4 linked regions of the Canis lupus familiaris genome follow. The protein of the gene in region 1 interacts with the protein of each later gene in a biochemical or structural test. Links are inferred from orthologs where the notes say so. Each region holds a gene or a part of one and is shown in the gene's direction. Other genes may lie near its edges. The genes, in order: SMAD1, STUB1, ACVRL1 and SMURF2.

Region 1 (7,724 bases):
ATTTCAACATAAAAAATTCATAATTTGCACTTTTCCCTCAACAATAGTTATCATTGGAACATTCCTTTTTAGTGTGGAATACCACACCAGTGATCCTTGGCCAGCTCATTCCAGGGGAATTGATTCATTTAAATTCACTTAAGGGGTTGCTACACAAACCCTACATGACATTTATTTTTCTATTCAGTAGAACTATCTCTTAACATAAATTTGGGGGGGGTTCATATTTTGCACATTTAGTATTTGCAGCCAATTTTAAGGGCTCACCTTACTGATAAATGATTAGTAGTTGTGTTTTGGTTTTGTTTTCATTTTTTAAGCAGGCTAGCTCAATAAGAGAATTAGTTTGCCTTTGGTGACTTGATACCTCCTTTTCTCTGAGGAGACTGTCCTCTTCCCTGCCTTACCCACCTACTTTCTCTGACCACACCACTAGATCTTGGCATCACCCCAAACTGCCCCAGCTCCATAATTTCAAGCATCCCATTCCCAGACTGTTCCTATTATTTGGGAGTGAGTCTCAACTCTGGCAATTCTTGGACTCCATTAGGACCTTCAATCCATTGATCTTATCACCTTTCCTTTGTCTTCTACTCCTTTATATCCTCACCTCCCTCACTCCCACAGCCCACCCTAGCCTCTCCCCTGCCCACATTCTCTGCTCTCTGACCCTCTTTCCCTCCATCACACTTACCTGCAAAACCCTCGTGCTGTCCCCTCAGGCTGACAAGGCTGTAGAAAAGTCCACAGCCCTGCTGAGTGTTCTTGCTTTGCATTCATGACCATTAACCTCAAATCGGCACTTACTAGCACTGCCTGGCAATCCTACCATATTTGTGTAGTTCATTTGCTCTGAAACTCTCCCAGAAGATAACTCTTTCATATCTGCTGCTCTTTTCCAACCTCCATAATCTCTCCCACCCTAACCATTCTCAGGAAGTAGGGCTCTTCACTAAGATAAGAGAAGTAGTAGAAGAGAACTTCCCTGTGTTCCTGCCTGGGCAGCTACCAGCACAGGTGCACCTGGTCCACACACTGTCTTCCCTCCTGTGTCTAGCTTCTCCCTGCATTGCTGCACTGGCCTCCTGGATAATCCGCGATTGAATGAAGTAGACTCAGGTTCAGGGACTTTGCACTTGTTCCTCACTCTGCTTGGGAGTTTGGTGACCCTCCTCCTAGATCAGTGGCATGCTCCCTGTCTTCCTTCAAGACTTCTTTGTTAGGGAGCTTTGCCCTACCCCTATAGACATAGCACCCACCCCTGCTCCCAATCCCTCCTACCTTGCTTCTTCCTTCCCATGTACCACCCACCACCTAGAATATTTGTGTATTTATTCATTATTTATCTTCTTTGATGAGAGCAGGGATTTTTTATCTGTGTAGTTTGTAACTATATGCCTTGTAATTAGAACAGTGCCTCACACATTTGTTTGTTCGTTCATTCATTCATTCATTCAGCAGGTGTTTAATAAGCTCCTACTGGGTGCCAGATACTGTTCTAGGCTCTGAGAGAATAGCAATGAACCGAACAGACCAAAAGTCCTGTTCTTTCAGCTAAGTAGTTAGGTAGTGATAGGGAAAGAGGATTACAAAACATGTGTGTTTGGGAGGGGTAGGTAAAAGTTTAGATAGAGTGGCCAGGCTGGGTCTTATTGAGAGGGGAACAGTTGGATGAAGACCTGAGAGGGGTGAGGGAAGGCCCACAGCCATGTGGGAAGGGCTTTCCAGGTAGGAGACAGCTACTGTGGAGGCCCTGAGATGGGATTGGACTCAGGTTGCTCCAGGACTTGTGAGGAGGCCAGGTTGACTTGAGGAAGTAAGCAAGGGAGAGAGTAGGAGATCAGGTAGGAAGGAGTTGGGAGCACAGATCAGGGAGGGCTTTGTACACATGGTGAGAACTCTTACTTGAATGAAATGGGGAGCCACGGGAAGGTTTTCTGATACAATGATATCAATACACAAGCCATATTCAAGCTTTGACAATTGTCCAAATAATGTCCTTTTTTGAAAAAAGTATCCAATTTTTTATTGCCGCCATTTAAAGAAATAACTTGCACAAAGGGTAAAATCAAATTGCATAGCATATGCAGTGTGAATAATTGTCATTTGTGGCGATCAGAACTGTACTAAGCAAGGTCATGTGTAGGTTAAAATGTAATAATTTTATAATTTTTATAAAATAAAAAGTGAGTTTTATTGTCATTGCATAGCTTCTCCCACAATCCTGGGTCCAATTAAGGATCACACACTACATTTAGTTGCTGTATCTTTTTAAAACAGCTTTATTGAAACAAAATTCACATGCCATCTAATCTACCCATTTAAAGTGCACGATTCAATGGCTTTTAATATATCCACAGAGTTGTGTAACTACCATCACAGACTAATTTTATAACATTTTTTACACGCCCCCCCCCCCAAAGAAACACGATAACCTTTGGCTATCGCTCTTCCTCGATCTCCCTATCCTCCCAAACATAGGCAACCAACATTCTACTTCCTGTCTCTACAGATGGGCCAATTCTGGGTATTTCAATATGAATCAAATATGTGGGCTTTGTATCTGGCCTCTTTCATGTGATACAATATTTTCCAGGTTCATTCATGCAGCATGTGTCAGTATCTCATTCTTGTTAATGACTGAATAATGTTCCATTGTGTATACAGCACGTTCTATTTACCAGGGAAGGGTTTTGGGCAGAGGAGTGACCTGATCTGAGTGGCATTTCACAAGGCTCAGGCCAGCTGTTGTTTCAAGGAGCAGAGAATGATGAACTGTGTCAAATGCTGCTTTTAGGGAAAATAAGATGAGGCCCAAGACTTGACCAGTAAGTGCTCAAATAGCTTAACAAAGAGATGAACTGAAATATTCTGATCTATAATTTACAAAGTGTTGTATGTCTTATGGGGCTTGTTGCATTTCTTTTGAATAATTAAACATGGAATGCAGAAATAAATTAAGAAATATGAATTTAAAATAGACTGTGGACATGTAAAGGTGCATGAACAATTGGAGAGTACCATTAACTTCCTTCGGTCTTTGATATTTTCTTTATACTGGTGGTAATGGTTCTTTGAGTTCGTGAGAAATTTATTCCTCAGAGTAATCATTCCTCTCTAAACATAACTCAACATTATGGTAATTATCCAAGATTTCATGCCAGCTTCCAGAGAGCTAGCCAAGGGAAAAATTAATTCTTACAAAAGATATGTTCGAGGTCTATGCAGATCAGGTTAGATGAGAGCCAGTCTGTTTTTATTTTAGGGGGTTGGTGTCATATAAAAGATTATAGAAATCGGATCAAAAGTTGAGTTCCATCCCAAAAAAAAAAAAAAAAAAAAAAAAAGTTGAGTTCCACTGTGGCATCTGCCATTACTTAGAACCACTACGTTACCCACTCAAGTCATCACATACTGAACTGGCCCAAAACACAAAACAGCGATACGGGTGGGTGTAAGCAGATGCAGCAGCACTAGGCTATCCAGTTCTGGGTACGTGCAACTTGTGGGGCGTGCAAAAGTGAAGGGCAATGGAAACTGGACATGAAAAGGAGAGGTCTGAAAGAGAATGGTCAGAAACGCGCCCCGCGGGTGCGGTGGTAGCGTTCGGAGGGCGCGGTGGGCGGGTGATGAGTAGTTCAGAAAATAAAGACTAAACCTCGAACTTCACGTGAGGATAACGCACCAAGCCCGCTCCGCCGGGACTCCAGGAAGCAGGGGAAAGAAGGCTGGTTTCTTTCTCCTTGGAGTCAACGGGGCGTGGGGCCGGGGGCGGGCTGGGGGAGGCGGGAGCAGGGAGGTGGCCGGCCCCGCGGCCCCGCGCTCGCGCTCAGCGGCCGGGAATTTGGAGAGGATCCCTGGTCGCGCGGCGGCGGCGGCGGCGGCGGCGCGCGGGTGCGCGTGTGAGCAGGCGGGCGGGCGGGCGAGCGAGCGAGCGTGCGGGCGGGCGGGCGAGTGCGCCGGCTGTTGGCAGCCGCCGAGTGGAGGCTGGGCGGCTCCGACTCCCTGACGCCAGCGCGACCAGATCAATCCAGGCTCCGGGAGCGGGCGGGCGGGCGGAGGAAGCGGAGGCCGAGCGGCCGAGCCCGGGCCGAGGCGCGGGGAGGCACCCTGCGAGCGCAGCGCCCCGCCGGCCGGACCGGGGCCGCGGGACCCCGCTCGTCCGGCCCCTCGTGCGCCCGCGCGGACGGGCGCGCCGCCAACCCGGTAAAACGAAACAGACCCGCACCCAACTTTCTCCTTGGCCGCGTCCCCGCCCTCCTTCGGCGCCCGGCGCTTGCTTTCCAGCGCCGCCGCCGCCTCCCGTGGGGTGAGCGCGGGGCCGGTGACGCGGGCCGCGGCGGGCAGGGGGCTCTTCCCCGCGCGGGGCGGGCCGGGCCGGGCCCCCCCCATGATGGCGCCTCCCGGCCGCGCCGAGGAGCGGACCTGCCACCGCCTCCCGCTCCCGCTCCCGCTCCCGCTCCCGCTGTGGCGCCCGGCCGGCCAGGCGGGGCTCGGCGCCGTTCTCCTCGCGTCTTTGTTGGCTCAGCCGTGGGGAAGCCGCGCTCCTCCGCCCGAGCCTCTCCCCGGCGCCGGCCGCCGCGGGACCTCCCCTCCCGCCCTCTTTCCCCCTCCGCAGCCGGGCCGAGGCCCGTGCGCGCCGCCCGCCGCCCGCCGCCCCATTGTGTCCCGCCGGCCCGGGCGACCCTTGCGGGAGCTGGGGGACGGCCGCGGGGCGCTGCCCTCCGCGCGGTGGGCGCCCGGCCGAGCGGGGCCGGCTCCAGGGGCCCCCGGTGCCCCGCGCGCCTCCGCATCCCGCACGGGGGCCTTTCCCTGCCCCAGCGAGCCTCTTGGGGGTCGAGGTCAAGGAAAGTTCGCACCGAAATTCCCTCTAATTTATTCAAAGGCTTGGCGGCGGCGCGTATTTTTTTTTTTTTTTTTTCCCCTCTCTCTTCCGCCTACACCCCGTGCGCCTCCAAGTGTCGTCTCATTCCTTTCCCTTTACCGGATTCGATTGCCTCACTGCATGTGTATTTGTGAGTTCGCTGTTGAACAACTGTTCATTTACTCCGCTCGCCGCCTTTGTTAGTGTTCCTCGGGCTCGTTGCTGGAGGAAGGTGGGGGGAGTGGGTGTGAGCGAGACCGACGTGGGCTTGTTTTTCTAGTTGCTTTATACACATGAGGGCTTAAAGGGAGAACGTTTCCTTGATGCACTTTAGGAAGGGAGGAGGAACAAACGCCTGCCGGATCCCACAACTACAGTAGCTGCGGCTTTTGTTTATTTTGAGGCTCAAACGATTGTTCCATCTACTGTGCAAGATAGCCCGCGAGGCGCTTCCCTTCTGAAAATCGAGGCACGTCTCCGAACCATCTTCTTGAGAAAGCATCGTTTTCGTGAGTGCTGTGGCAACCGGCCTTCCCTACCCCCCCCCCCCTTCCCTTCCTGTTCTCTTCTTTTCCATTGTATCCGAAGTTTCAAAGCATGTGGAATGATACAGAAGTTGCATGATGTCACTCTGTCATCCTGTTGCTGGAACTCTTAGCACCTAAATCACAGAATGCCTTCGTTTCAGAGCATTTCTTGCTCTCCTTGCCCGTGGTGATAACATGCTTAACGTTCAGTAACACGATAAGAAAACTGTTCTCGGCCCGTGTTGACTTTTCATGTTGTTTATAATTACCACTTTACGTTTTATTGGAAGTAGGTGAGCTGTATTGGAACCACTGTTTCAAAAAAAAAAAAAAATAATAGTGACAGGGCCCATGTTCAGGGACCCAGTATTTTCAAGTAGTATAAATATTTTGCATCAGTGTTCTTCTGATGTAGGTGCCAGGCCTACCTATGCTGAAATGATTAAGGTGATTGTCGTACTCCCTCTCTCTTTCCCATTTGCAGTTACTTGATATTTCTCTGCAGGTGGTGTACATTTGTGTGATACTGCAATTCTTAGGAAACTGTAACCAGGGTCGTGAGAGATGATTTTCTAGAAGTGGGTGATGCCAGAGCCTCTGGAGGATCCAGACAAGATCGGGTTTCTTCTGAGTGTAGGGATTTGTCCTTGATTTAGTTTTGACCCCTCCAACCATAGGTATGTAACCAAATACATTTTTCCTTTTTGCAGTATCCATTGGTTTTATACCCTTGAAGAGTGGATGACCTTTGCATTTTAGAGAAATGACCATTTTATAGGTATTTGAAAATGTTAACCTCTTATATTCTTGGAATTTAAGTAAATTTTTCCCTACGAAATTCATTGAAGCATTATGTCAGTCTCATTCCCCCCACCCTCATACATTTGTTAGTTAAAAACTAAATTTCAGTTTGTGATTCTGATTTATAGTAATTCTGGGTTAAAGATAAAATTTAATGACTTGGTTAGATAAGAAAAAGAAGAAACTGGGGTGTAATTAGATGACTATGTTTAAGCTGTAGTCACCTACATAATCAAGGCCAAGTTGTGTGTGTATAAAAGATCTCATTTGTGTAGTCTTACAAGGCTAATGGAGGCATCATTGAGGCTTTATAAATAATGTAAGTTGTGTATAATGTAGAGTCTCCAGAGACAGCAGAGAAAGCATCATTACCAGCCTTTTCAACCTGCTTGAGATCTTAAATTGATTTACAGCACTGAACTGGTGCAAAATGATACATCAGGATGACATGGGGTCAGCCTGTAAAAGTCTATGATGTCAGCCTATTAGTTCAGTCATCATAATTAAACCATATTACAGGGGCAGCTAAGCAGGAGTCTGGCGTTATACTTCAGATATGGGTGGTACATGGATTTTGTTTATAGTGGAAAGGCTGAGCTGACCAGGAACCCAAGTGTTTCTGAAAGAGGGAAAGGCTTACAGAACTCCGAATTTCTGAAGAAATTTAAAATAAATGAAAGGATGTTCAATCTGCATTGTCTAAGTAGCTTTCCGTTTGGTAGTGGAGAAACAGATGCATTGGGGGTTCTGATAAGAACTTTTGCAGCTTTTATACTGAACCAGGCTTCATATGAGCTTGAATTTAACGTGACCTTAGGGACCTTCTAAAATATCAGAGGACCACATACTTCTTATCTCTGGTCCTGTCATTAGCACTGAGTTGCACTGTATTGATGTATCAGTTGGCATGTTTTTTCTTAACTAGCCACAGTTACCAGGTCTCCACTGAAAGCAAAGATATTTGAATTGAACATAGGAACAATTTAGGAAAAGAAGACTCTTGTTTTTTGTTGAAATTTCTGGCAATCTTTATTCAGTTTATGGGTCATCTGGGGAGGTACTATCCAATAAAACAGCTATAGCTACATATCAGTATTTAAATGTTAGTAAAATTAAAATTTATTTTCTCAGTAGAACTAGCCACATGTGGCTCGGGGCTACCATATTGGACAATGTATGTGGAACATTTTCGTTATCACAGAAGGGTCTGCTGGACAGGGCTGCTCTAGGACTTTTACTTCTTTTCCTTTCTACTCTTTCAGCTACTTCTCTGCTTACTACTTCTAATGAGCTTGTGGGGTCAGGAAAAAGAGGTGTATCATTAATTTTTTCACCTACTAGTTGCTCTTGATAAAATAAAAAACAATTTGGAGGGGATCCCTGGGTGGCTCAGCGGTTTAGCGCCTGCCTTTGGCCCAGGGCGCGATCCTGGAGTCCTGGGATTGAGTCCCACGTCTGGCTCCCGGCATGGAGTCTACTTCTCCCTCCTCCTGTGTCTCTGCCTCTTTCTCTCTCTATGTCTATCATAAATA
Region 2 (7,770 bases), on another chromosome or scaffold:
CCAGCCCAGCCCTAACGCCCCTCTCCCCCAGATCATCGTGTTCCTGTGCTATGGGGCTCGTCTCAACAAGTGGGTGCTGCAGACCTACCACCCCGAGTACATGAAGAGCCCCCTGGTGTACCACCCCGGCCACCGCGCTCGAGCCTGGCGCTTCCTCACCTACATGTTCATGCACGTTGGGTGAGCGGGGGCCCGCCTCTGGTGTCCCCGTCGGGTAGGGCTGGTGGTCCGCCGCCACCAACCTCACATCTGTTTACACCCACATGGCCAGCCTGGAGCAGCTGGGCTTCAACGCGCTCCTGCAGCTGATGATCGGGGTGCCCCTGGAGATGGTGCACGGCCTGCTCCGCATCAGCCTGCTCTACCTGGCCGGGGTGCTGGCAGGTAAGGCAGGCACACGCCCCCCGGCCACTGCACCGGCGAGCCTCCTGCTCACGGCTCTCCTTTTGCTCACACAGGCTCCCTGACTGTCTCCATTACCGACATGCGGGCCCCTGTGGTGGGGGGCTCTGGTGGGGTCTACGCCCTGTGCTCCGCACACCTGGCCAACGTCGTCATGGTAATAGGGCAGACAGCGGGGCGGGTGTGGGGAGGGGCCCATAAGGCCTGCCTCACAGCCTGTGTCTCGCGCCCCATCAGAACTGGGCTGGGATGAGGTGTCCCTACAAGCTGCTGAGGATGGTGCTGGCCTTGGTGTGCAGTAAGTACGGGGTCAGGGGGCTGAGAGGGGCCTCAGCCTCAGGCCAGAGTGCCTCCCACCTGCCCACCTGCCACCTTTCTCTGCAGTGAGTTCTGAAGTGGGCCGGGCCGTGTGGCTCCGTTTTTCCCCGCCACTGCCTGCCTCCGGCCCCCAGCCCAGCTTCATGGCACACCTGGCAGGTGCAGTGGTAGGAGTCAGCATGGGCCTGACAATCCTGCGCAGCTATGAGGAACGCCTGCGGGACCAGTGTGGCTGGTGGGTGGTGCTGCTCGCATATGGCACCTTCCTGCTCTTTGCCATCTTCTGGAACGTCTTCGCCTACGACCTGCTAGGCGCCCACATCCCTCCACCACCCTGATGGGCTCCCCAGGGCCCCATGGGTCAGGGCACTGGTGTGTGTGGGCTGGCTGCCAGGCGAGCCTGCACATCTGCCCTCTGTGAATGTACACCTTGAGACTGCTTCTCCTCCGTAGGGGCAGGTGGCCCTCGCAGCCCACTGAGTCCAGGCCAAGCCTTACATCAGCCCTGGCCACCCCCTCCCAGGCCTGGGGACATAGGACTGCCTGGCCAGGCAGTGGAGGTCCCCAAGTGTGGCCCTAGGGAGACCCTGCCCCTGCCTCTCCCCCACAACTTGCGGTCTGAGCCTTTTTGGAGAATGAATAAATATTTTACACAGCAGGAGGTGGCTGCAGTGGGCTCTGGGGGCTGGCCCCAGGGGCCCGCCCGGCCCTCGCACGGCAGCCCAAGCTCTCCCGGTGCTCCCTGCACCCAAACCAGGCGTGCGCGTGTGGCGGGTGTGCGAGGAGCTGGGGTCCTCACAGGCAGCGGAGACTGCAGCCCAGCCGGTCGCCCGCCCTCCGAGAACCCTGTGGCCCGGGCCCAGCAGGGTTCAGCCAGCCTGGCTTCTCTGCGCTTCTGGGCCGGCGCGGTGTCCTTGCGGGTGGCCAGGCTGGGGCGGGTCCCACGCGGGGAGGGGTCCCGGGCCTGAGGTCCCGCCCGGGCGGGGACAGAGGGGGGCGGGGGCCCGGGCCCAGGCCATGCGGCGCTCGGGCCGGCTCTGCCTGCCGCATGCACCCCGCCTCCCCAGGGCCGCGGGCGGCGGGCGCGCGGCGGCCTCGGAGCTCCTGCAGCCGGGGCTCGAGCCTCGCCAGCGTCTGGGCAGGCGGCTCCCGCGCACCCCCGGGGTCACGGCCACGGGCCCCCCGGCAGGCGACGACACTCACCGGCCGGGCCGAGGTGGGCTGGGCGGGGTGGGTGGGGGAACCTCACCCGGAGCCCCGCCCCCCGCTTCCACGCCGGCGGCCACGTGCTCCTCCGCTCCGCCCCCGGTGGCCGCGGGGAGCCCTCTGGGGCCTGGGGAGGGCGGCGACGGAGCCTCGGGCAGCGGGGTTCGGCCGTCCTGCCACCGCTCCAGAGCTTCCAGCCGTCCCTGGCGGCCGCGGCACCTCCCCGTGCGGCGCCAGGACCGCAGCCCCGCGGCCCTCAAGGCCCCACGGCCGCGCAGCCAGCCGGCGGCCGCCTAGTCCGCGCGGGGCGGGGCCTCGGCGGGGCGGGGCCTAGGCGGGGCGGGGCCTCGGCGGGGCGGGGCCGCGCTTGTCGCTGTCCCGGACGTCCGACGTCGCGGGTCGCGTTCCCTCGAGCGCATGCGCCCAGTCGGTCCCGCCCCCCCTTGCCTCCGCGGCCCGTCGGACGCAGGCGCGCCCCCGCCCGTGCCGCTGGCCCCGCCCCGCGCGGCCGGAAGTTCCGGTGGCGGATCGCTGGACCGGGCCCGAGCGGATCGCGGGCTCGGGCTGCGGGCTCGGGCTGCGGGCGCAGGGCGGGCCAGACGCGGAGCCTGGGAGCGAAGCCCGGGCTGTGCCGCGCGGCGCTATGAAGGGCAAGGAGGAGAAGGAGGGCGGCGCGCGGCTGGGCGCCGGCGGCGGAAGCCCCGAAAAGAGCCCGAGCGCGCAGGAGCTCAAGGAGCAGGGCAACCGGCTCTTCGTGGGCCGCAAGTACCCGGAGGCGGCGGCCTGCTACGGCCGCGCCATCGTGAGTGCGCCCGCGCCGGGGGAGGGGGCCGGCGTCCGGGCGGGGGAGTGGGCGGGGCCCGGCTCGCGGCCCCGCGTCCTCCCCGGAGCCCCTGCCCCGCCGCTCCCGCCGGACCCTCGGGGCGGTCTTGGTTCGCCCGCGGGGGCGTTTGGGCCCCGAGAACTCGGTGCTGATCATGTTCCAGTCGAGCCAAGGCCGCGCGGTTCTCGAGCCAGTGCTGGTTGCTGGAGGGGCGGGTGGGAGCTTGAGGGGTGCTCGAGGCCCCAGGCCGGGACCAGGGTTCCTGTCCCTTGAGAAGCCCAGGCCCGAAGCTGGGGCTCTCCTCAGGTCCGGGAACCTCACCTTTACAAAACCTCCTGGGAGCCCCGAGAGGGTGGGCTAGCGCAGGCCTGAGGACCGGGAGTTCACTCTACAGCCCTAGCTGAGCAGAGGCTTCCAAGCTGAGAAATTTCTAGTGTCTGGATTTTAGCTACGGGCTCCCAGACCAGGACAGGGCCTAGGACAGGGCCCACGGAGCTTTTTCCCTCATGCTGGCTGGCCTGGCCTTGGTCCCCAGACCCGGAATCCTCTGGTGGCCGTGTACTACACCAACCGGGCGTTGTGCTATCTGAAGATGCAGCAGCATGAGCAGGCCCTGGCTGACTGCCGGCGGGCTCTGGAACTGGACGGGCAGTCTGTGAAGGCACACTTCTTCCTGGGGCAGTGCCAGCTAGAGATGGAGAGCTATGATGAGGCCATCGCCAACCTGCAGCGAGGTGGGCCTACAGGTTGTCAGGGGACGGCGGGGGCGCCTGGGACCAGGTGGATGGACTGGCCAGAAGGTGACCTGAAGCCCCTGTTCCCCCAGCCTACAACCTTGCCAAGGAGCAGCGGCTCAACTTCGGGGATGATATCCCTAGTGCTCTGCGCATCGCCAAGAAGAAGCGTTGGAACAGCATCGAGGAGCGGCGCATCCACCAGGAGAATGAGCTGCACTCCTACCTCACTCGGCTTATTGTGGCCGAGCGGGAGAGGTGGGCTGTGGTAGCGGCAGGCTCCAGGGCCCCACCCACCCCCAAGGCAGCACTCTGGGGTTAACTGAGTCAAGAACACAAGTGTTTATTGAAGGCCAGCACTGGCGAGCAGTTGGAGGGAAGAGAGACCTGAACAAGCCTGAGGTTGGGGTGGAGTGTGATCTCTTCTGGCCAGACCCATTCCTGACTAGCTCCTGGTCGACCCCCAGGGAGCTAGAAGAATGCCAGCGGAACCACGAGGGTGATGAGGATGATGGCCACGTCCGGGCCCAGCAGGCCTGCATCGAGGCCAAGCACGTGAGGGTGCCCCAGCCCACGTGTGGATGTGTGCGTGTTTGCGTGCCTGTGACTGGAGGGTGCCCGGGGGAGGGGGAAGGGGCATTTGGCCCACGCGTAGCTGCTTGGTTCTCCGCAGGACAAGTACTTAGCAGACATGGATGAGCTTTTCTCCCAGGTGGACGAGAAGAGAAAGGTAAGCTGTCTGTCCTCTGGGTAGCAGGAATCGGAGCCGGGTCCCCATCCTGGTGCCTGACCTGACTCCATGTGCCACAGAAGCGAGACATCCCGGACTACCTGTGTGGCAAGATCAGCTTCGAGCTTATGCGGGAGCCGTGCATCACGCCTAGTGGCATCACCTACGACCGCAAGGACATTGAGGAACACCTGCAGGTGAGAGCCAACAAGAGTGGGGAGCAGGGCCCGTAACCACTGAGCACTTTCTGACCTGCTGTCACTGCACACTGCAGCGTGTGGGCCACTTTGACCCTGTCACCCGGAGCCCCCTGACCCAGGAACAGCTCATCCCCAACCTGGCCATGAAAGAGGTCATTGATGCATTCATCTCCGAGAACGGCTGGGTGGAGGACTACTGAGGCCAGGCGAGTGCCAGAGCTGCCTGCCTTGCCTAGTACCCTGGCCCAGGTGGGCTTTGGGGCAGTAGCTCCCAGTTCCTGTACATAGTTTGTGTCCCTAGATCCCTGCCCTGGTGTCCCTTATCCCACCCTCATCAGTTCTGCTGCTGGACCATGAGCCCCACCTCCACCCCCTTCTGGGCCAGAAACAGCAGGTGAGGGTGGGCTGCTGCCACCACTGTCCTGTAATAAAACCTGTGAGCACTATAGGGGTGTGTGCTGGTGTGTGCTGGGCTCACCAGCCGCCCACTCTACCTAGCCGAGGAAAGTAGAGATAAAAACACTGGTGTCCAGGTTGAGCGTAGCATGCCACCACCGGTCAGGGAAATACAGCACCTGGTGGAGGGTGGGGCACAAGGATTAGCTGGTGGCGTGTGATCCAGCCTGACCCCTTCCTGCCACCTACTGACCTCACCAGCCTGCACGGTGCACTCCAGGGGCCTCTCAGATGGTGCCAGGGTTGGGTACACGTCCTGAAGCCAGGCCAGTGTGGTTTTGTTGGGGTGGAACTCAGGTGTCTTCTCAGGGGGATACAGGAACCAGCGCTGAGGGTGAGATCAGCCCGTCACTCCATGTTGGCAGGCAGTAAGCCCCAAGCCGCAGCCCCGGCCCGTGCTGACCTTGCGGCCGTAGATCACCTCTGAGAACCCGGGCCCGTGCCAGTGGAAGGGCACCCCAGAACCAGCTCCTGTGGGGTCAGTTAGGAGCACTTGCTGACGCAACCCCACCTGGCGCATCCCCTTCCTCCGGCATGCCACGTGCAGGGTACCCACCTGCGATTCCAAAGCTGTAGGCAGCAGTGGTACCTAGCAGACTAAACGGAGGCGGGGAGTAGTGCTGGAAGAGTGAGGCCCATTCGCTGAAATCGTTGTCCCCGAAGAAGTACAAGGTGTCTGCCAACACAGAATATAGGAGGCGCCCGGGTCTCAGCACCTGTGCTTGTCCACATGCCCCCAGCCCAGCCCACGGCCAACCAGGTGTTACTCACCGTTGCCCAGGGAGCTAGGGTCTTGGGGGTGCAGTAGGTGCTCCACGTAGTCCTGGAAGGGCAGGTCCACTGTAGGAAAGGGCCTGGTCAGGACTGGCCGAGACCGCCTGCAAGTGCCGGCAAGCAGGTGGGGCGGCGGCGCGCGGCAGCTCACCTTTCCGGTAGGAATAGGTATTGGCGGTGCTCAGCCGGACCACGCTGTCCCCGAACGAGGCCAGCAGCCGTTCTCGGGAGCACAGGGCCCGGAAGCGCTGGGGTGGGGTGGGGTGGGGAGAAGATTCAAGGGCGGGCCGGCGCGGGTGGAGAGGCCGGGCGGGGCGCTGCACTCACCGAGTTGTCCGTGAGCCGCTGCAGGATGACGGGCCTGGAGAAGGCGTACCTGGAGGGGCGGGGCCGCAGCGGGTCGCACCGGCTCGGGGGAGGGGCGCGGGGGCCGGGCGGAGGGGCCGGGGCGGGAGGCGGGTGTGGGGGCTGCACGTACTGCTGCACGAACTCGGCGTAGCTGAGGTCCGCCCGGCGCTCCACGGCGCAGCGCTCTTCCTCCGCCACGGCGGCCGGGGCCCCGGGCCCGCGCCTCTGCCTACGGGCACGGCCGTCAGCGCCCCGCCGCCCCCCCAACCCGGCCGGCCGCCCGCGGGTCCCGGCCGCCCGCCCGCGCCGCTCACCACCCTCCGTCGCCCGTGTCCCCGGCGCCGCGCAGCACCGGCGCCGCCAGCGTCCAGACCGCCAACAGCAGCAGTGGCCGCGCCCCCGGCGCCATGAGCCCGCCGCCGCAAAGCCTGCCGGGAGCTTCGTTGTCGTGGCAACAGCGCCCGGCCCGCCCCGGAAGCAGCTCCTTTGGCCCGCCCCGGAAGGCGGAGCGGCCGCCGCGGGTTCCCATGGCGACGACACCGCCCACCCAGCGGAGCCGCCCAGCATCGAGCTGGCGGCACGAGCGCACGCGCGGGTGACGCGTGTGACGGGCGGCCTCACACTGCGGCTCCTGCTTCCTTTATTCGGTCCCCACGCCCAGCGCCTCCCGCCCGCGGCGGTCAGGAGTACTCGCACAGGTGGCCGCAGCCCGCCGGGCAGTGCGAGCTGCCCTCCAGCCACTTCATGATGTGCTGCAGGTGGCCGCCGTGACTGCAGCCCTGGCACCACACGAACAGCCCCTTGACCACGTGGTGGCACACGGCGCACATACTGGCGCAGCGGTGGCAGCGGTCACAGACCCAGCCGCGGCTGCTCATGGGCCGCTTGCAGTGGCTGCAGTTGACATGCAGGGTGGTGGACGCCTGGTTGAGGCAGCTGATGGCGCGGCTGGTGCTGAGCTTCACCACCTGGTTGGACACGTTCCAGAGGCAGAAGCGCTGCAGCAAGTCGATGTAGGACGTGTACCAGTGCTCCTGGGGCGGCGGGAGGGAAGGAGGCCGGAGGTCAGTGCGCCGGCGGCCCTGGGGTGGCAGGGACGCCCTCCCCAGACCCACTCACCCACCTGGGTCTGCTCGTCGATGTCCTTGCGCACTCGTTCGCCCAGCACGATGAGCACGGACACGGCCATCTGCACGTCACCCTGCTCTGCATAGAAGCGCAGCATGTCACACACCAGGGCGCTGAAGAAGTCGGGCGGCAGGCGGCTGTCGTAGAGCGCGTGCGAGACGGAGATGAGCGAGAAGGAGGAGTCCACGGGCACCATGGAGGCTGCATCAGCCTCACTGCCGCTGACGTGGGGCGAGTCAGCCTTGTCCTGCAGGTGCTCGGGCCCCGGCGGAGTGTCCACAATCTCATGGCGTAGCGGGAAGGCCTCCTGCGGCAGCACGTACTCGGGCTCCTCCGCTGAAGGCAGGGTCAGGGAAGGCAGGGTCTGAGCCTCCCGCCCCACCTCCCAACCCCACTTCCCCAGCGCCCACTCACCATGTGCATGTTCTGGCTCCAACAGGTACAGCTCGTCCTCTTCGCCCTCCACGTCACCCAGCAGATAATCCGCAGGCACGTCGCTGCCCTCTGTCTCTTCGTTATCTGCCCATAGGGGAAAGGGTGTTCCAGAGGAGCTGATTCTGGGAGGCCCCAGCCCTACTCCCACCAGTGCCCTGTCCACCCCCGCAGCCTACCCTCATTGGTGAGGAGTGTGGCTGAGGAGTCCAGCAGCAC
Region 3 (7,138 bases), on another chromosome or scaffold:
AGGGGTCTCCTCATGCCTGGCACGAGCCAGCGCTGTTCAGGGTTTGTATGGTCGTTACAACCTGAGGGCTCAGACCCAGTGCTCCCGGGATTGGGGGGCAGACTGGAGAAAGCCCTGGCCTGGCAGTCGGGACACCTGGGGCGTACTCCTGGTACTGCCACCGAATCCTGTCTGACCTCAGACGAGTCTCCTGCCCTGTCTAAGCCTTGATCTCCATCTTCTCTAGAATAAGGGGTTGGCCTTTGTGGTTCCCAAGGTGTCCCCCTAGAATTCTCTCATGGGGTGTCGCAGCCCCAGGTGGCTCCCCCAGAGCCTGCAGCGCCCCTGCCTGCCCTGAGAGTACACGCTGAGCTCTCTGCTGTGCGTGACTCCTGCCCGTTCTATCCGGACCCCGATCTAAACAATCTTGATTCCTGTTCCCAGCTTGGCGGGACCCTGAATGGCAGGAAGTGAAGACAGGAGCCTGTTTATGTTTGAGGCAGCCAGTGCTAGGGGTGGGGGGACTGGGGGAGGGGGCGCGGGGAGGGGGGTGGGCAAGAGCCGGAGGACACAGGGTGCGGGGGGACTGCTGAAGACAAGTGCCTTCCACCCCGGCCCGTGCCCTCTGTGTCCTCCAGTCTGAACCCAGGAGCAGGGGTAAATAGCTGGGAGTCCCCCAAGCTCTCTGTCACTCAAACATGGCTCCCCCACCCTTTACCCCTTACAGGATGGTTTCCATGGGGAAGTGAACCAGGACTTCCCCTGCAGGCCCCGCCCCAAAGCCAGACACAGGGAGTAGGGAGGAGGCCTCCCTGCCCCCCCCCCAAAACTCCCAGTGATTTCCTCTGGGTGGGAGGAACCCACAGTCGGTGGCTAAAAACACCAAGGGGAACACATTTCACGGATCTTACGGTAACCCCCTCTCCTCTCCAGGGACCATGACCTTGGACCTGCCCAGGAGAGGCCTTCTGATGCTACTGATGGCCTGGGGCCTGACCCAGGGTAAGTACTAGGGAAGCAGGTGGGGGACACGGACCTGGATGGAGGAAGGGCTGGCTGGGGTCAGCTCTTGCTGGGGCTGAATTTGAGGAGCTGGGGAGGTACTCAGGAGCTTGGCTGGAGAGTGGGAGGCAGGCTCAGCTGCCCCAGCCCTCAATGTTCTGATCTGAACCCACAGACTGGTGCCCTACTGGCCTCCAGGGTAGGAACCTGTATCTGGGGGGTGCAGAGAATGGGGATGTTGGCAGGGAGGGCCTAGGAGAGCCCTCAGGGTTGGGGCAGGGGCCAGGGCCGGGCCTAGAACCAGGAGGGAAGGTCCTCGGATCTGGGACAGGACGAAGCCTGGTTCTCATCATCGTATCAGAGGCTAAGGTTCTGGAAGGAAGGATCATCCGAGGCTGGGACTAAAGGCCCACGGCCTCAGGGGTATGTTTGAGAGGTCAGAGGGAAGGGCAATGGGTCAGACATCGGTGTTGGGCCCCGCCCAGGAGTTCGGCCCACAGCGCTGAGCTTCCAGTGTGTCTCCCAGGCAACCCGGTGAAGCCCTCTCGGGGCCCGCTGCTGACCTGCACGTGTGAGAGCCCACACTGCAGGGGGCCTACCTGCCAGGGGACCTGGTGCACGGTGGTGCTGGTGCGGGAGGAGGGCCGACACCCCCAGGAGCATCGGGGCTGCGGGAACCTGAACGAGGAGCTGTGCCGGGGGCGCCCCACCGAGTTCGTGAACCACTACTGCTGCTACAGCCCCCTCTGCAACCACAACGTGTCCCTGGTGCTGGAGGGTACGTGCAAGTCCCCGCAGGCCCTCCCCATCTTCTCAGACCCTTCCTCCCTGCCCTGCTTCCACCTTGTGCTCTGGCCTGGATGGGGGGGCGGTGCACGGCAGGACCCTGGGATCTGAGTCAGGGGAGGGATCCGGCCTGGTGGAAGCTGGGCCTCGGTGTCCCCCCTCCACCAGCCACCCAAATTCCTCCGGAGCAGCCGAAAGTAGATGGCCAGCTGCCTCTGATCCTGGGCCCTGTGCTGGCCGTGGTGGCCCTGGTGGCCCTGGGTGCCCTGGGCCTGTGGCATGTCCGGCGGAGGCAGGAGAAGCAGCGGGGCCTACGCAGCGAGCTGGGCGAGTCCAGCCTCATCCTGAAGTCGTCGGAGCAGGGGGACAGCATGCTGGGGGTATGGGCCTGGGGGAACCTGGGACACGGGCAGGGGAGGGGCTAGGCAGGAGCCACAGAATCAGAGGGGGTGCCGAGTGACAAGCAGCCAAGAAAGGCACAATCACAAACACTCGGAGATCTGAGTGGGGGCCGGGGGTGGGCGCTGGGCAAGTTTGGAGCAGGGGGACGCAGCAGTGGGGCCCAGCTTTAGGAGGAAGAAACGGGCTGGGCCAGGTGGGGGCCTCTCAGCGGCCTCTCCGGGCCCCCTAGGATCTCCTGGACAGCGACTGTACCACAGGCAGTGGCTCAGGACTCCCCTTCCTGGTGCAGAGGACAGTGGCACGGCAGGTGGCCCTGGTGGAGTGTGTAGGTGAGCAGTGGGGGAGCCCCGGGGGGATGAGACCAGGGCCTCCCATGAGCTCGCGGGAGTGAGCGAGCTCTTGGTCTCGGAGTCCCGGGCAGGCCCGGCCCGAAAGGGAACGCTGCTGGGTAGGCGGTGGCCTGGAGAGGGTCTGGGCTAGATGGTTCTGCAGCGGCTGGGGGTGGCAAGGCAAGTGGGGGCGGGCCTGGAGCGGGTGAAACCTCATCGAGGGTTCTGCAGCTGCGGTCAGGACAGCATCAAGGCGGTGGGGGGCTCCTCTGGGGATGCCCTGCCCAGGGGCTGCGTGTGCCCAGCGTGTGACTCCTCCCACCCTCCCGCCACCGGATCAGGCAAGGGCCGCTATGGCGAGGTGTGGCGCGGCCTGTGGCACGGCGAGAGCGTGGCCGTCAAGATCTTCTCTTCGAGGGACGAACAGTCCTGGTTCCGGGAGACCGAGATCTACAATACAGTGCTGCTCAGACACGACAACATCCTAGGCACGTGGGGAGCGCTCGGGGCTGGGGTCCTCAGGGCTCCCCGGGGCCCCCGGCTCCGGCCTCGACTCCAGCTTCCTCCCTGGCCTAAGCCGGACCAGCGTCCACCGCGGCCCCGGCTTTGCCCTGACCCTCTACCCTCTGTCCCCAGCCCCGACCCTGACCCCCATCGGCCCAGCCTCCCTGGCCCTCGCCCCTCGGCCGAGCCGCCCGACCCTCTGCCCACAGGCTTCATCGCCTCGGACATGACGTCCCGCAACTCGAGCACGCAGCTGTGGCTCATCACGCACTACCACGAGCACGGCTCGCTCTACGACTTCCTGCAGAGGCAGACGCTGGAGCCCCAGCTGGCCCTGAAGCTGGCTGTGTCCGCCGCCTGCGGCCTGGCCCACCTGCACGTGGAGATCTTCGGCACCCAGGGCAAGCCGGCCATCGCCCACCGGGACCTCAAAAGCCGCAACGTGCTGGTCAAGAGCAACCTGCAGTGCTGCATCGCCGACCTGGGTGAGTGCGGGGTGCGCGGGGCGGCGGCCGGGCGGGCTTTGAGCGCGCCCCTCCTCGCTGGCTTGTGCTGGCTTGTGCCCTCGCCCTCGGCCTCACAGGCTGCCTTGCGGCTCTGCAGGCCCGACTCCTCCGGCCCAGCACCCTGGTTCCGGGAGTTGGGAGCACGGGGCGGGGCGCCGGGAGCCCCGGGTTTCACCCCGGCTTTGCTGGCTGCACTGCGCCCCTCAGCAGGCCTCGGGGGTCCGCCCGGGAAACAGGCATGACAACGCCGGCCTTGCCTACTCCCGTGTCTCTGGGTCCTCGGGCGCTTGGGGGAGCGCTTAGGCGAGCAGAGCGTCGCTGGGACAGGCGTCCTCGGGGGCTGCGGTCCCCCGCCCGCCCCAGGACAGGTGTCCCTCTGCCTGCTGCTCTCTGCCCCACCACCTCTCTCCATCCCCACCTTGCCTCCTGCACCCCAGCCTCCAGGGCCACCCTGTCTGTGGGCTCGGGCGAGCGGCAGGAGTGACAGGCCCGGTGCCCACAGGCCTGGCTGTGATGCACTCCCAGGGTAGCGATTACCTGGACATCGGCAACAACCCGCGAGTGGGCACCAAGCGGTACATGGCCCCCGAGGTGCTGGAAGAGCAGATCCGCACCGACTGCTTCGAGTCCTACAAGTGGACGGACATCTGGGCCTTTGGTCTGGTGCTGTGGGAGATTGCCCGTCGGACCATTGTCAACGGTGAGGGCCTGCCCTGCACGGGGTGGGGAAGGAGGAACGGGGCGGACGTGTGGACAGGCAGACGGGCAGGAGACAGGGGCCTTCCTGCCACGGCTGGCGCCCGTGGCCTGAGGGCTCAACTGAGTGACCCTTGAGGTGTGACTGAATCCGTGAGCCTGGCTGTGACGGGAGGCTGGCTGTGAAATCTTGGATAAGTAGTAATAACAGAAATATCAGTAGCAACTAAGCTTTCTTGAGCCTAAACGTGTGCCAGACGTCCTGCTGTGTCCGTGTAGTATCTTAGCTCGACATCCCGTGCTGGCAAAGCTGGCATCGGCCTGTGGTCAGGAGCGTGCGGTGGGAATCAGACTGCCTGGATTCCGCTCCCGGTTTTGCCCCCCGACCACAGGCAGGTTACTTAACCTCCCTGTGCCTCAATTTCACTTGAAAATGAGAATGAAGATGGTTCTAGTTGTCGAGATGATCCTCGGGCGGGATCTGGAGCTACTCTGGGGCTCAGTAAATATCAGTGGCAGTTTATCGTAATAATGCGAGACCAGCCCCTTCCCAGGTGAGGGTGCCGAGGTAGAGAATTGCAGCTGGCTCGGGGCAGCACCGGGGTCCGAAACCAGGCGGTGTGACGCGGAGGCCACGGGTTCTTTGCTATAGAAATGCAGGCGCTGGGAGTGTCTGCGCTGCCTGCTTATCGCTGCCTCCTTGGGACTTTGGCTGCCGTTGGAGGGGCCGGGAGCAGGTGGGGGGACCTCAGTCCTGCTGGCCAGTATGGGGACAGCCCTGTGGCCCGTGCCCTCCTGGCCCGGGGTTGGGGGGGTGCGTGTATGGATGACGGGTGGTATTCTGGACCAGGTGGAGAGACTCGTCAGGCTGTGTGGCGGCTGTCCCTGGGGAGGGCTTGCTGGAGGTCCTGACAGGTCGGGAACGACCTCAAGATATGACTGGAGCGCTCTGTTCCTTGGGGACAGGGACATTCTCATTTCCTGAGCATCTGCTGGGAGCCAGCCCCATGCCAGGCCTCATTTACCCTCAGCATCAACAGGTGGAGGCCGGGGGGTCACCAGTCCCTGTGGGAGACTCTCTAGGGGCTCAGATTCCTGGCCCTTCAGATGTGAACTCCCTGTGTAGGGTCTGAAGACTGGGGCTGCGGAAGGGACACCTGGAGGGACCGGTGCGGGCAGGAAGGGAAGGCTGGGCCGGCCAGGGCCGACGGGAAGGCTGACTGCAGGCTCCTGGGGCGGAGGGAAGCTCTGAAAGCCCCACACAGATTCGTGGCGCATTATAAACACTGTAATCTGGTGTCAGCCCCGGCGCTGATTAAAGGCCCATTAGACACGCTCAGGCCTCTGTGCAGCGCTGATTAGGGCCGGAGCGGCACAGGGGCCGGCCTGGAAGCCCGCCACGGGGAGAACAGCTGGCGGAGGCTCGACTGAGGTTGCGGCTGCGGGGCCACGGCCCCCAGCCTCAGGCCGGGAGCAGGGGGTGCCCGGGGCACCTTCTCTGGGCCTGGCCTCTCCTGCCTGAGCTGTGGGCGGCTCCCCAGGCAGCATTTCGAGAAGGCTCCGCTAAGGGATGGCGAGGGGACGCAGCGAGGCCTGTGCCATCTCTGGGACGGGGTGGCTGTTACATGGACCTGGGTAAAAGTCCCTTTCTCCTCGCGCCACCTCGTCCCCCCAGAGCAGGCCAGCTCCCCTCCCTTCGGCACTGCTCCCAGGTCAAGAATGTGCAGACCATCTGGGCTTAAATCTTAGCTCAGTCACGCGCTACCTGTGTGCTTTTAGACGAGTTTCCTCACCCCTCTGGCCTTAGTTGCATTGTCCATAGAGTGGAGCTGGTAGTGCGACTTACGGGGTTGCTGTGAGGATTTAATGCAGTGCGGCCGGGACAGTGCCTGGCACAGCGTACGTGCCCAGTCCATGTTTTTATCGGGCATCTGTGATAGTTGGGGCCTGGGAGTGGTGCCCAGGCCCGGGGTGGGAGGCAGCGTGGAGAGACCGGAACAGGGTCCGGCTGAGGAATCGACGAGAGGAGTTCAGGCCTTGACTCTGCCTTTCCTGGCTGTGTAACCTTGGGCTCCACTTCCTCGAGCATCAGTTTCTTCATCTGTAAAATAGAGGTTACGGTAATACCCGTGGGGTTGTCGCAAAGACGAACGAGATAAAGCATGAAAGTGTTCATAGCACAATGCCTGGCACCTGGTGAGCGCAAAATCAACAGCCGTAATCCTTATTCTTTGAAAATATATTGATGATGTTATCGTGGCCCGTGTCTTACACGGGTAAGACAACTGGTTTTCTGCACCCTGGGGCAGAAGGTGGGGCAAGGCTCTCCTCGGGATGGAATGGGGTCTTCTTGGGGTGCCGAGTGACTGTCCGTCCCCCCGCCATCCTCAGGCATCGTGGAGGACTACAGGCCACCCTTCTATGACGTGGTGCCCAATGATCCCAGCTTCGAGGACATGAAGAAGGTGGTGTGTGTTGATCAGCAGACTCCCACCATCCCCAACCGGCTGGCCGCAGACCCGGTGAGGCCTCCGCGGGGGCGGGGGCGTGGGGGCCTGGGGATGCCATGGGGTAGGGGCTCACAGCTGGGAGTTCTGGCCCCGGGAACACGTACCTGAGGTCTCTGCTTCACCTGCATGGATTCCGGAGGAGAGATGCCAGGGTACCTCCCTGGGTCCTCCCTCCCACATCCCTGGCCTGCAGAACCCCGAGATTTGGGTTACTCGGAGATATTTCAGAACCTTCTATCTCGTGGTGAAAAGTCAGCCTCTCTGCCGCATTTCTTGCTCTGAACTTGTTGCTGTTTTCGTTATTTTCTCAAAACGCTCCACATGCATATAAGACACATACACACGTGGACGTGGACGCATAAAGGCGGGCACCTGCCTCTGCACGAACACGTCCTCACACAGGCATGCGCATCCATGCCAGACT
Region 4 (7,138 bases), on another chromosome or scaffold:
AGTCCAGAGACCGAATAGGCACAGGAGGACAAGTTGTGGACTGCAGTCGTTTATTTGATAATGATTTGCCAGATGGGTAAGCCATTAATAAAGCCAAATCATTAGAGAAATAGTTGATAGTATCCTTCAAATAGTGACAGATAAGTTGGTGTTTATTGTATTCTTAACTTTAAAAATTTACTGATCAGTTCTAAAATCTAGATTTTCCTTGTACTTGGAAAATTATTGAGGAATCTTGTCAAGACAAATTTATAAAAGAAGCCATGAAGTAGATGTGGTAAATTTGGTTTTTAAGAGTTTTGACTTAAGAGACAATCAAATTGCTTGACAAATATAACTTTCCTGTAAATATTATGTACTTAAAATAACAACTTTTTTATTTGATTAAATTATTCAAAACCAGGCATATAAGTGCTGAATCGGAGACATTATTCTGTTTAGAGGAATGGGACAGAGGTTTGCGTAGTAAAAATTTTAACATTTATTGAGCATGTGTGTGTCAGGTACTTTTATAAGTACTTTATGTGATACATTAGATCATTTCATTTACATGGCTATGATTCTGGAATTAGACCATCTGCGTTCCAATCCTTACTATTCTATTTACAAGCTTAATGAATTTAATCAGTTTATTTAACTTTTGCAAGCATTGGTTTATATTTACTTATAGAAGAGGATGGTGATAATAGTATACATACCATACACCATTTTGAGGATTAAATGAAATCATTCATGTAAAGCACTTAGCACAGTGTTTTGTATTTAGTAGGTGCTTAATAAATAATTAGCTGCTATTATTACTTCTGCTGCTACTGTTGTCACCCTCATTCATTTCATAGATTAAAAACACTGGGACTCAGAGGAGTTAAGTAAACTTGCCTTGAAGGCCACATAGTGAATGGGAGAGCTGGAACATAGACTTAATAAGCCTTGATTCCAAAGCTCATGCTTTTGATCACTGCTCTGTATCTTTGATACTAATGCTGACATTTTTCTGACTTTATTTTTAACTTTCAAAGTATGTTTAACACCAGTGAGGTGTAGTTTATATATAATAAATTATTTAAAGTATATAATTGGTTGAATTTTTACTTAAATTATTTTTGATACTAAATTTTACATCCAACCCAAGGTATTTGCTCATTTTGTTTAAACTCTTAAAAATCGCCATAGTTTAAGTTTACTTATAGACCACTTTAGCTCCTTATATATATGTTAACTTTTATGGATATGAAGTAGATTATGGTAATTTTGAAGGGGAACTTTAGTATGAAAGAACTAATCAGTATTAAGAGATTACAACAATGTAAGGCTTTGCTTTATTGTACTCCCCCCCCCTTCCATTTGTTTTTATATCACCTCCTTTAAAAATACCAATTCGGTCTATGTTTTATAATATATAGTCTTATTATAAATTAATTGCTAAACACTACATTTTGTGCTTTAATTGTTATCACAGGGCAAGAAAACCTCTTAGCATATCTTTATTTCCTATTCTTTATGGCTCCTAAACCTCTGCCAGGGTTTTGATGGAAATACTAACATTACCACATTTCTATGGTCATTTGCTTATTTTGTTACATGCATTAAAAAGTTACTGAGGAAGTACCATTCTTTTGAGAAAAAAATAATTTGAGTAGGCTAAAAGCTTTAAAGAACTTTTACATACTTTTATGTTAATTTTTAAAATTAGGTGTAATTTTTATTTTTGGTATGGCTTTTTTTCCCCACTAAATACTGGAGAAATTAGTATTATTTATGAGTGTTGACATTATTGAAGAATTCTGAGTTTGACTGATGGAAAATATTAGTCATACCTCAGTGTAAATATTTTAGAAGCTTCAGAATTCCAGAAAAATACATTGTACAGTTTTAAAATAAGTTGAAAATAGTTCCAGTATTCTGTATATTGATTTTTCAGTTTGTCATTCCTGATTTATAACAGCAGATGTCTTCCTGACCCAGTTATTGCACTAAAAACATTCTGTATCCACCTTCTTATTAATGCCTTATCTCTCAATTTTTATTTAAGCTGGGAAGAAAGGCGAACTGCCTCTGGAAGAATCCAGTATCTAAACCACATAACAAGAACTACGCAATGGGAACGCCCAACACGGTAAGAACATACAAATATCTTCCCAGGGTCTGTGCTTTTTGCCTTCCTGAAGTCATCACTTTCTGTTTATCTGTCAGCTTTACCAGATTTCCTTTCTTGGTTTATACTGCTCAAGATCAGTAGATCTTACAGCAAGTGCCATTATTATTTCCAAAAGTAATTTTCAATAAAGATTGTTTAGCAGGTCATCCTGTTATTGTAGCTCTAGGGCCTGTGATGGTACTTAATAAATATTTATTAAATGAGTTAACTGAATAAATTGAAAAGTCATCTTATTTATGGGACTCTTAAAAATTTTTTTGAGTCCGTTATTGAATGGCTGTAACAAACTATATATACTGAATCTTCATTTGTTCAGTCATGTTGGGATATGATTATATTATTATATTACATCTAATAAGGTCTGTGATCAAGATAAGAACCAGATATTCTGAGACCATACGGCAGGCACCTAATTTTGAGTAGGAGGCAGCAGGTTGTTAGAACTTGCAAAGGAAAACTCTGAAAGAGGAGAATTTCTGAACTAAATCTTGAAGAATGTTCAAATTTAACCAGATAAGGGGAAGATAATGAAAAGTGTTAGAGTAGTGGTAACCAAATCGTCATTCATTCATTTCACCAAATCGTCATATGCCAGTTACAATGCTCAGCATTTATGCTATAACAGTGAGCAAGGGAGAAGGGCCTTCACAGAGCTTAATGTGTAAAGACACAATACAAGATAATTTTTGGAAACTCCAAGGAAGTACTTTTTTAAAAAAAATGTTTATTTATTTATGTGAGAGAGTCAGGGTGTGCACGTGGCAGAGATGGGGGTGGAGGGACAGAAGAAGAGGGAGAGAGAATTTCAAGCAAGCCCCATGTTCAGTATGGAGCCAGACTTGGGGCTCAATCTCATGGCCCTGAGATCATGACCTGAGTCAAAATCAAGAGTCAAATGCTTAACCGACTGAGCCACCCAGGCCTCCTGAAAGTACGTTTTAAGTAACTGATGGGACACCTGGGTGGCTCAGCGGTTGAGCATCTGCCTTTGGCTCAGGGTGTGATCCCAGAGTCCTGGGATCAAGTCCCACATTGTTCTCCCTGCTTCTCTCTTTGCCTGTGTCTCTGCTTCTCTCTCTGTGTCTTTCATGAATAATAATTAAAAAAAAAAAGTAACTGTGTCTTTCACAGTAACTGAAACTGAATAGGATAAGTGACTGAATTTCCTTTTTTTTTTAAAGTTAAAAAAAAACTGCTGCCTTTACTCTGTTTGTTCTTCCCCTCTCTCCCTCACCTCTCCCCCACCTCTCTCCTTTTCCTGAGCAGGACTTGTACCAGACACAGAACATCAAATACTTCTCTAAGCTATACCTACTTTTATTTATTGGGGATTCGTTGCTTAACTCATTAAGTCACAGTTTTCTGTGTTATATTACAATCCTCAGGTAAAAGCTTAGCTCATGTTGCTATTTTAAAAAATACTTACTTGAGAGTTGTATTTCTAATATTAAACTGCCAAGGATTTTATTGTAGTCAACCCATTTTTATTGCATCTGAGCGTAAATAAATATGTACTTGTGTCAGTGCTTTAGTGAAGTCCCATTTCCTCCTAACTCATTTAACTAATGAAACTGACTTAATTTCCATGTGTATAAAGTTGATTGTGGTTGTAAATGTTAGTTAAAAATTAATTCTTGATTATCCTCTTATATTTTGGATGCCCTACCATATACCAGAAGTTCTTTGAAGAGTCACACTATCTTCTTTATTCATTCAATAAATATTTATTGAGCTACTTTTATATATATGCCAAGTACTAAGTGCAGGGGATACACACACACATATATGTATATAGTGGGAAAGAAACTAGGTAGACTTTCTTTTCTCAAAGAATATTCTAGTAAGGGAAAACAAACCAAGGGTTCAGATTAAAAAATAATAATAATTGCTGGGCTGAGAAAGTAAGGTGATGGACTTATCAAATGCCTAGTGACTGCCTTAGACTTGAAGGTCAGGAGACCTCTCAGACATTTAAGCTTAAGTTATGATTTGAATGACAAAAAGGAGCCTGGCCTAGGAAGAATAGGAAAAGAAAGCATTCTGGGTGGGAAGAAGAGCTCCTTTCCAGCCCTGAAGGTAAAACAGTCTTGGTTCAAGGCAGGTTCAAGGAACGCAAGAGAATCAGTGTGGGAGAAATGGAGAGGGAGAAAGGTAGAAAGTCAGGTCTGAGAGGTGGGCTGAGGCTAAGTCAAGTAGTGCTTTGTAAAGTAGTACTCACATCTACAAGTATCTCTGGACTTTGTATAAAATGTAATTCAAATCAGTACAAAATGATTTCAATACATAATTGATAGTCTGCCTATTAACATGAGTTTGGTATTTAGAGGCATCAGGATTGCTTTTATTCAGAATTCTTGAAATCATTATATTTGTATTGATCATTCCATCTTGTGACTGTCCCTATGGTACATACATTGTCTGGAGAACTCTACCTCTGAGATCTTGGTTGAGTAACTTTTTTTCCTTGTTACTTTTAAATAGACCAGCATCTGAATATTCTAGTCCCGGCAGACCTCTTAGCTGCTTTGTTGATGAGAACACTCCAATTAGTGGAACAAATGGTGCAACATGTGGACAGTCTTCAGATCCCAGACTGGCCGAGAGGAGAGTCCGGTCACAACGACATAGAAATTACATGAGCAGGACTCATCTACATACTCCTCCAGACCTCCCGGAAGGCTATGGTATGACTAGCAGAGGAAAAATAGAGTATGGTTTACTGGTTTCAATTTACTAAGAAAGCCAGAAAATCAGCTTTAAAGAAGTTATTAATCTGGGTTTAGGATTCTGCATGAAAGTAAATGTGTAAAATCTCCCAACCTTGGAAAACCTGTGAAGTGGTAGAGGACTACCTAACCAACAGTTGACTTGGGCTAGTCATTTAATCTCAGCCCTTTTGCTCTTTTATAATGAAATGAGATGAATGATACCTCTCCTTGTCTCAGAGGTATCATGAAGAGCATATGTGACAATGTGAGGTTACTTGCAAATAATACATTCTATGAAGGTAAGATGGTACTGTTATTGATAATGGTAATCTGAAGTCAAACCTGCAGTGTAAAATTTTCTAGACCTACATATTTAGAAATAACTTCAAAAGTATGTTTCTGATGGTATTTATATCTTTGTATTGTCTATAATTTTGGATTATCTACATGATTTGGGTTATTGTTGTAAATGACTTAGTCACTTCTCTGTATAAAATTTTTATAATCTAACATAATTTCCCAAATTGTAGAATTTCATGCGGAAGATGACTTCTAGTTGGATATAGAACTTTCTGAATTAGTCATAACCTGGGAGTATTCTTGTAGATACTAGGAACTCAGCTGTCTTCTCCTTTCTTGCTAAAAGTATATCAAAATAATTATATCCTTGTCCTCCCAACAGCCTGTAGATAAACCATGTCTGGGCTGATGGTGACACCTAATGACCAGCGTTGGGAATCACCTGATCCAACTTGTTTTATTTTTCCTCTACAATATGTTTTAAACTGTTCTGCAAATGCATGATTCTAGCTTTATTTTTAAAATATATTTTAACTCTTTAATTTAGAAAAAACCCAGTTTGTCCATTAACTGTGCTATACTGCACAGGTTAACTTACGTAGCACAGTGATGAGAGCATGGCCGTGGGAAATAGACCTGGGTTTATATCCTGGCTTTACCACATATTAGTTGTGTGACATTGGGCACATTATTTAATTTCTGTGAGCCTCAATTTTTTATCTTCCATAAAATGGGGAAATTAGTAGTCCCAACTGTGGAGGTTTGTTGCAAGAGAGGAATGATGATTTCATGTAAAATGCCTGATAGTTTCTGGCACAGGAAGCACTTAGTAAACTTTGCTTGTTATTATTAGTGTTCAGACCTTAGAATAAAGTATTTTCTGTCATTTCTCTCTCTCTTTTTTTAAAGATTTTATTTATTCATTCATGAGAGAGAGAGAGAGAGTGAAAGAGAGAGAGAGAGGCAGAGAAGCAGAGACGCAGGCAGAGGGAGAAAAGCAGGCTCCATGCAGGGAGCCCGACATGGGACTCGATCCTGGGTCTCCAGGATCCCACCCTGGGCTGAAGGCGGTAACAAACTGCTGAGCCACTGGGGCTGCCCTGTCATTTCTCTTTAATTGAGATTATAAGGCAAGATGTTTGGAGTGGGAGTGGTTATATTTTTACAATATTTGTGTGATTTGAATTAAAAACAAATTTTGTACAACCAAAACCTAGGAGTAATGTGGCTACCAAGGCTGAAATTATTGCAGCTGTCATATGTCACCAACTTTAAACATTTTTATGTTTATAATTTTAAGAAGCTTAAGTTTAAATAGATTTTATTATAGGTTTATAAGTAGGTTTATAGTAATAAATATTAGCAATAGTATCGTTTTTTATATTGGAATTTTTCATTAGATTTTGTTTAAAGACAGGTGGTTCTGTTGCTTAAAAACACAAATAAATAAAGATTAAAAACTACCACTGAAGAAACTTTTCCACAGATTCCTTCCCTTTGCCCTGGCTTTCTTACTCTCTTCCCAGGGGCTTGGAGTTAATGTCGCCTTTGACCTTTTTCTCCCCAGAATGCATGCTTTTTCTCTGTTCTTCCTCTTTCTAACTTGCTTATTTTTGCATCTTTGTCTATTTTTGAGTATAGAGTGTCTCCCCTTTTAATGACATATTCCATCTTTTTTGCCTCTGAGTCTAAATATGGTAGTCTTGAGAAAACACCTCTCTCAAGAAAAAACTTAAGTTTTGGTATAAAATTAGGCATACTAAACAAGCATTACCAGCCTGCAAACCCTTTGAAAGTTTTTGCAACTCCCTGCAGAATCTCCCTATAGTTGGTTAGCCTCTTCCTCTGAGCTTTCTTTTGTTCCCCTCAGGCTCCACTTTAAGACAAATAAAAGATCATTTCTTCATGTTTCTTTTGTTGCAATACTGGTACTGTGACAATCTTGTTTTCTGTTTTCCATAGCAACATGTTT

The links.
Region 2: the proteins of SMAD1 (region 1) and STUB1 form a complex in vitro, tested with the Homo sapiens proteins (3 studies listed by BioGRID, with this or other methods). The link is inferred for Canis lupus familiaris from reciprocal best matches to the Homo sapiens genes SMAD1 and STUB1.
Region 3: of the proteins of SMAD1 (region 1) and ACVRL1, one has a biochemical effect on the other in vitro, tested with the Homo sapiens proteins (2 studies listed by BioGRID). The link is inferred for Canis lupus familiaris from reciprocal best matches to the Homo sapiens genes SMAD1 and ACVRL1.
Region 4: the proteins of SMAD1 (region 1) and SMURF2 form a complex in vitro, tested with the Homo sapiens proteins (2 studies listed by BioGRID and IntAct, with this or other methods). The link is inferred for Canis lupus familiaris from reciprocal best matches to the Homo sapiens genes SMAD1 and SMURF2.

Annotation. Positions count from the first base shown.
Region 1 is NC_049236.1:44,383,824-44,391,547, forward strand, and holds the start of SMAD1 (mothers against decapentaplegic homolog 1), read left to right. Parts: upstream 1-2,722; 5' UTR 2,723-2,828; intron 2,829-5,065; exon of another isoform or gene 5,066-5,373; intron 5,374-5,896; exon of another isoform or gene 5,897-6,068; intron 6,069-7,724. UniProt on the Homo sapiens protein: Transcriptional modulator that plays a role in various cellular processes, including embryonic development, cell differentiation, and tissue homeostasis.
Region 2 is NC_049227.1:40,361,149-40,368,918, reverse strand, and holds STUB1 (E3 ubiquitin-protein ligase CHIP), read left to right. Parts: upstream 1-2,456; 5' UTR 2,457-2,569; coding exon 2,570-2,728; intron 2,729-3,284; coding exon 3,285-3,483; intron 3,484-3,575; coding exon 3,576-3,741; intron 3,742-3,801; exon of another isoform or gene 3,802-3,950; coding exon 3,951-4,038; exon of another isoform or gene 4,039-4,156; coding exon 4,157-4,213; exon of another isoform or gene 4,214-4,293; coding exon 4,294-4,410; intron 4,411-4,487; coding exon 4,488-4,613; 3' UTR 4,614-4,861; downstream 4,862-7,770. Other genes in the region: RHBDL1 (rhomboid-related protein 1), read left to right, coding at 32-180, 272-384, 459-559, 640-700, 787-1,058; JMJD8 (jmjC domain-containing protein 8), read right to left, coding at 4,908-4,988, 5,063-5,197, 5,273-5,340, 5,426-5,545, 5,641-5,709, 5,795-5,891, 5,971-6,220, 6,306-6,400; GATOR complex protein WDR24, read right to left, coding at 6,672-7,025, 7,115-7,455, 7,534-7,638, 7,731-7,770. UniProt on the Homo sapiens protein: E3 ubiquitin-protein ligase which targets misfolded chaperone substrates towards proteasomal degradation.
Region 3 is NC_049248.1:43,569,328-43,576,465, forward strand, and holds part of ACVRL1 (serine/threonine-protein kinase receptor R3), read left to right. Parts: intron 1-517; exon of another isoform or gene 518-912; coding exon 913-981; exon of another isoform or gene 982-1,507; coding exon 1,508-1,759; exon of another isoform or gene 1,760-1,935; coding exon 1,936-2,147; exon of another isoform or gene 2,148-2,398; coding exon 2,399-2,498; exon of another isoform or gene 2,499-2,839; coding exon 2,840-2,986; exon of another isoform or gene 2,987-3,211; coding exon 3,212-3,487; exon of another isoform or gene 3,488-4,010; coding exon 4,011-4,208; exon of another isoform or gene 4,209-4,221; intron 4,222-6,046; exon of another isoform or gene 6,047-6,305; intron 6,306-6,595; coding exon 6,596-6,726; intron 6,727-7,138. UniProt on the Homo sapiens protein: Type I receptor for TGF-beta family ligands BMP9/GDF2 and BMP10 and important regulator of normal blood vessel development. On ligand binding, forms a receptor complex consisting of two type II and two type I transmembrane serine/threonine kinases.
Region 4 is NC_049230.1:14,542,491-14,549,628, forward strand, and holds part of SMURF2 (E3 ubiquitin-protein ligase SMURF2), read left to right. Parts: coding exon 1-76; intron 77-2,032; coding exon 2,033-2,116; intron 2,117-4,639; coding exon 4,640-4,842; intron 4,843-7,138. UniProt on the Homo sapiens protein: E3 ubiquitin-protein ligase which accepts ubiquitin from an E2 ubiquitin-conjugating enzyme in the form of a thioester and then directly transfers the ubiquitin to targeted substrates.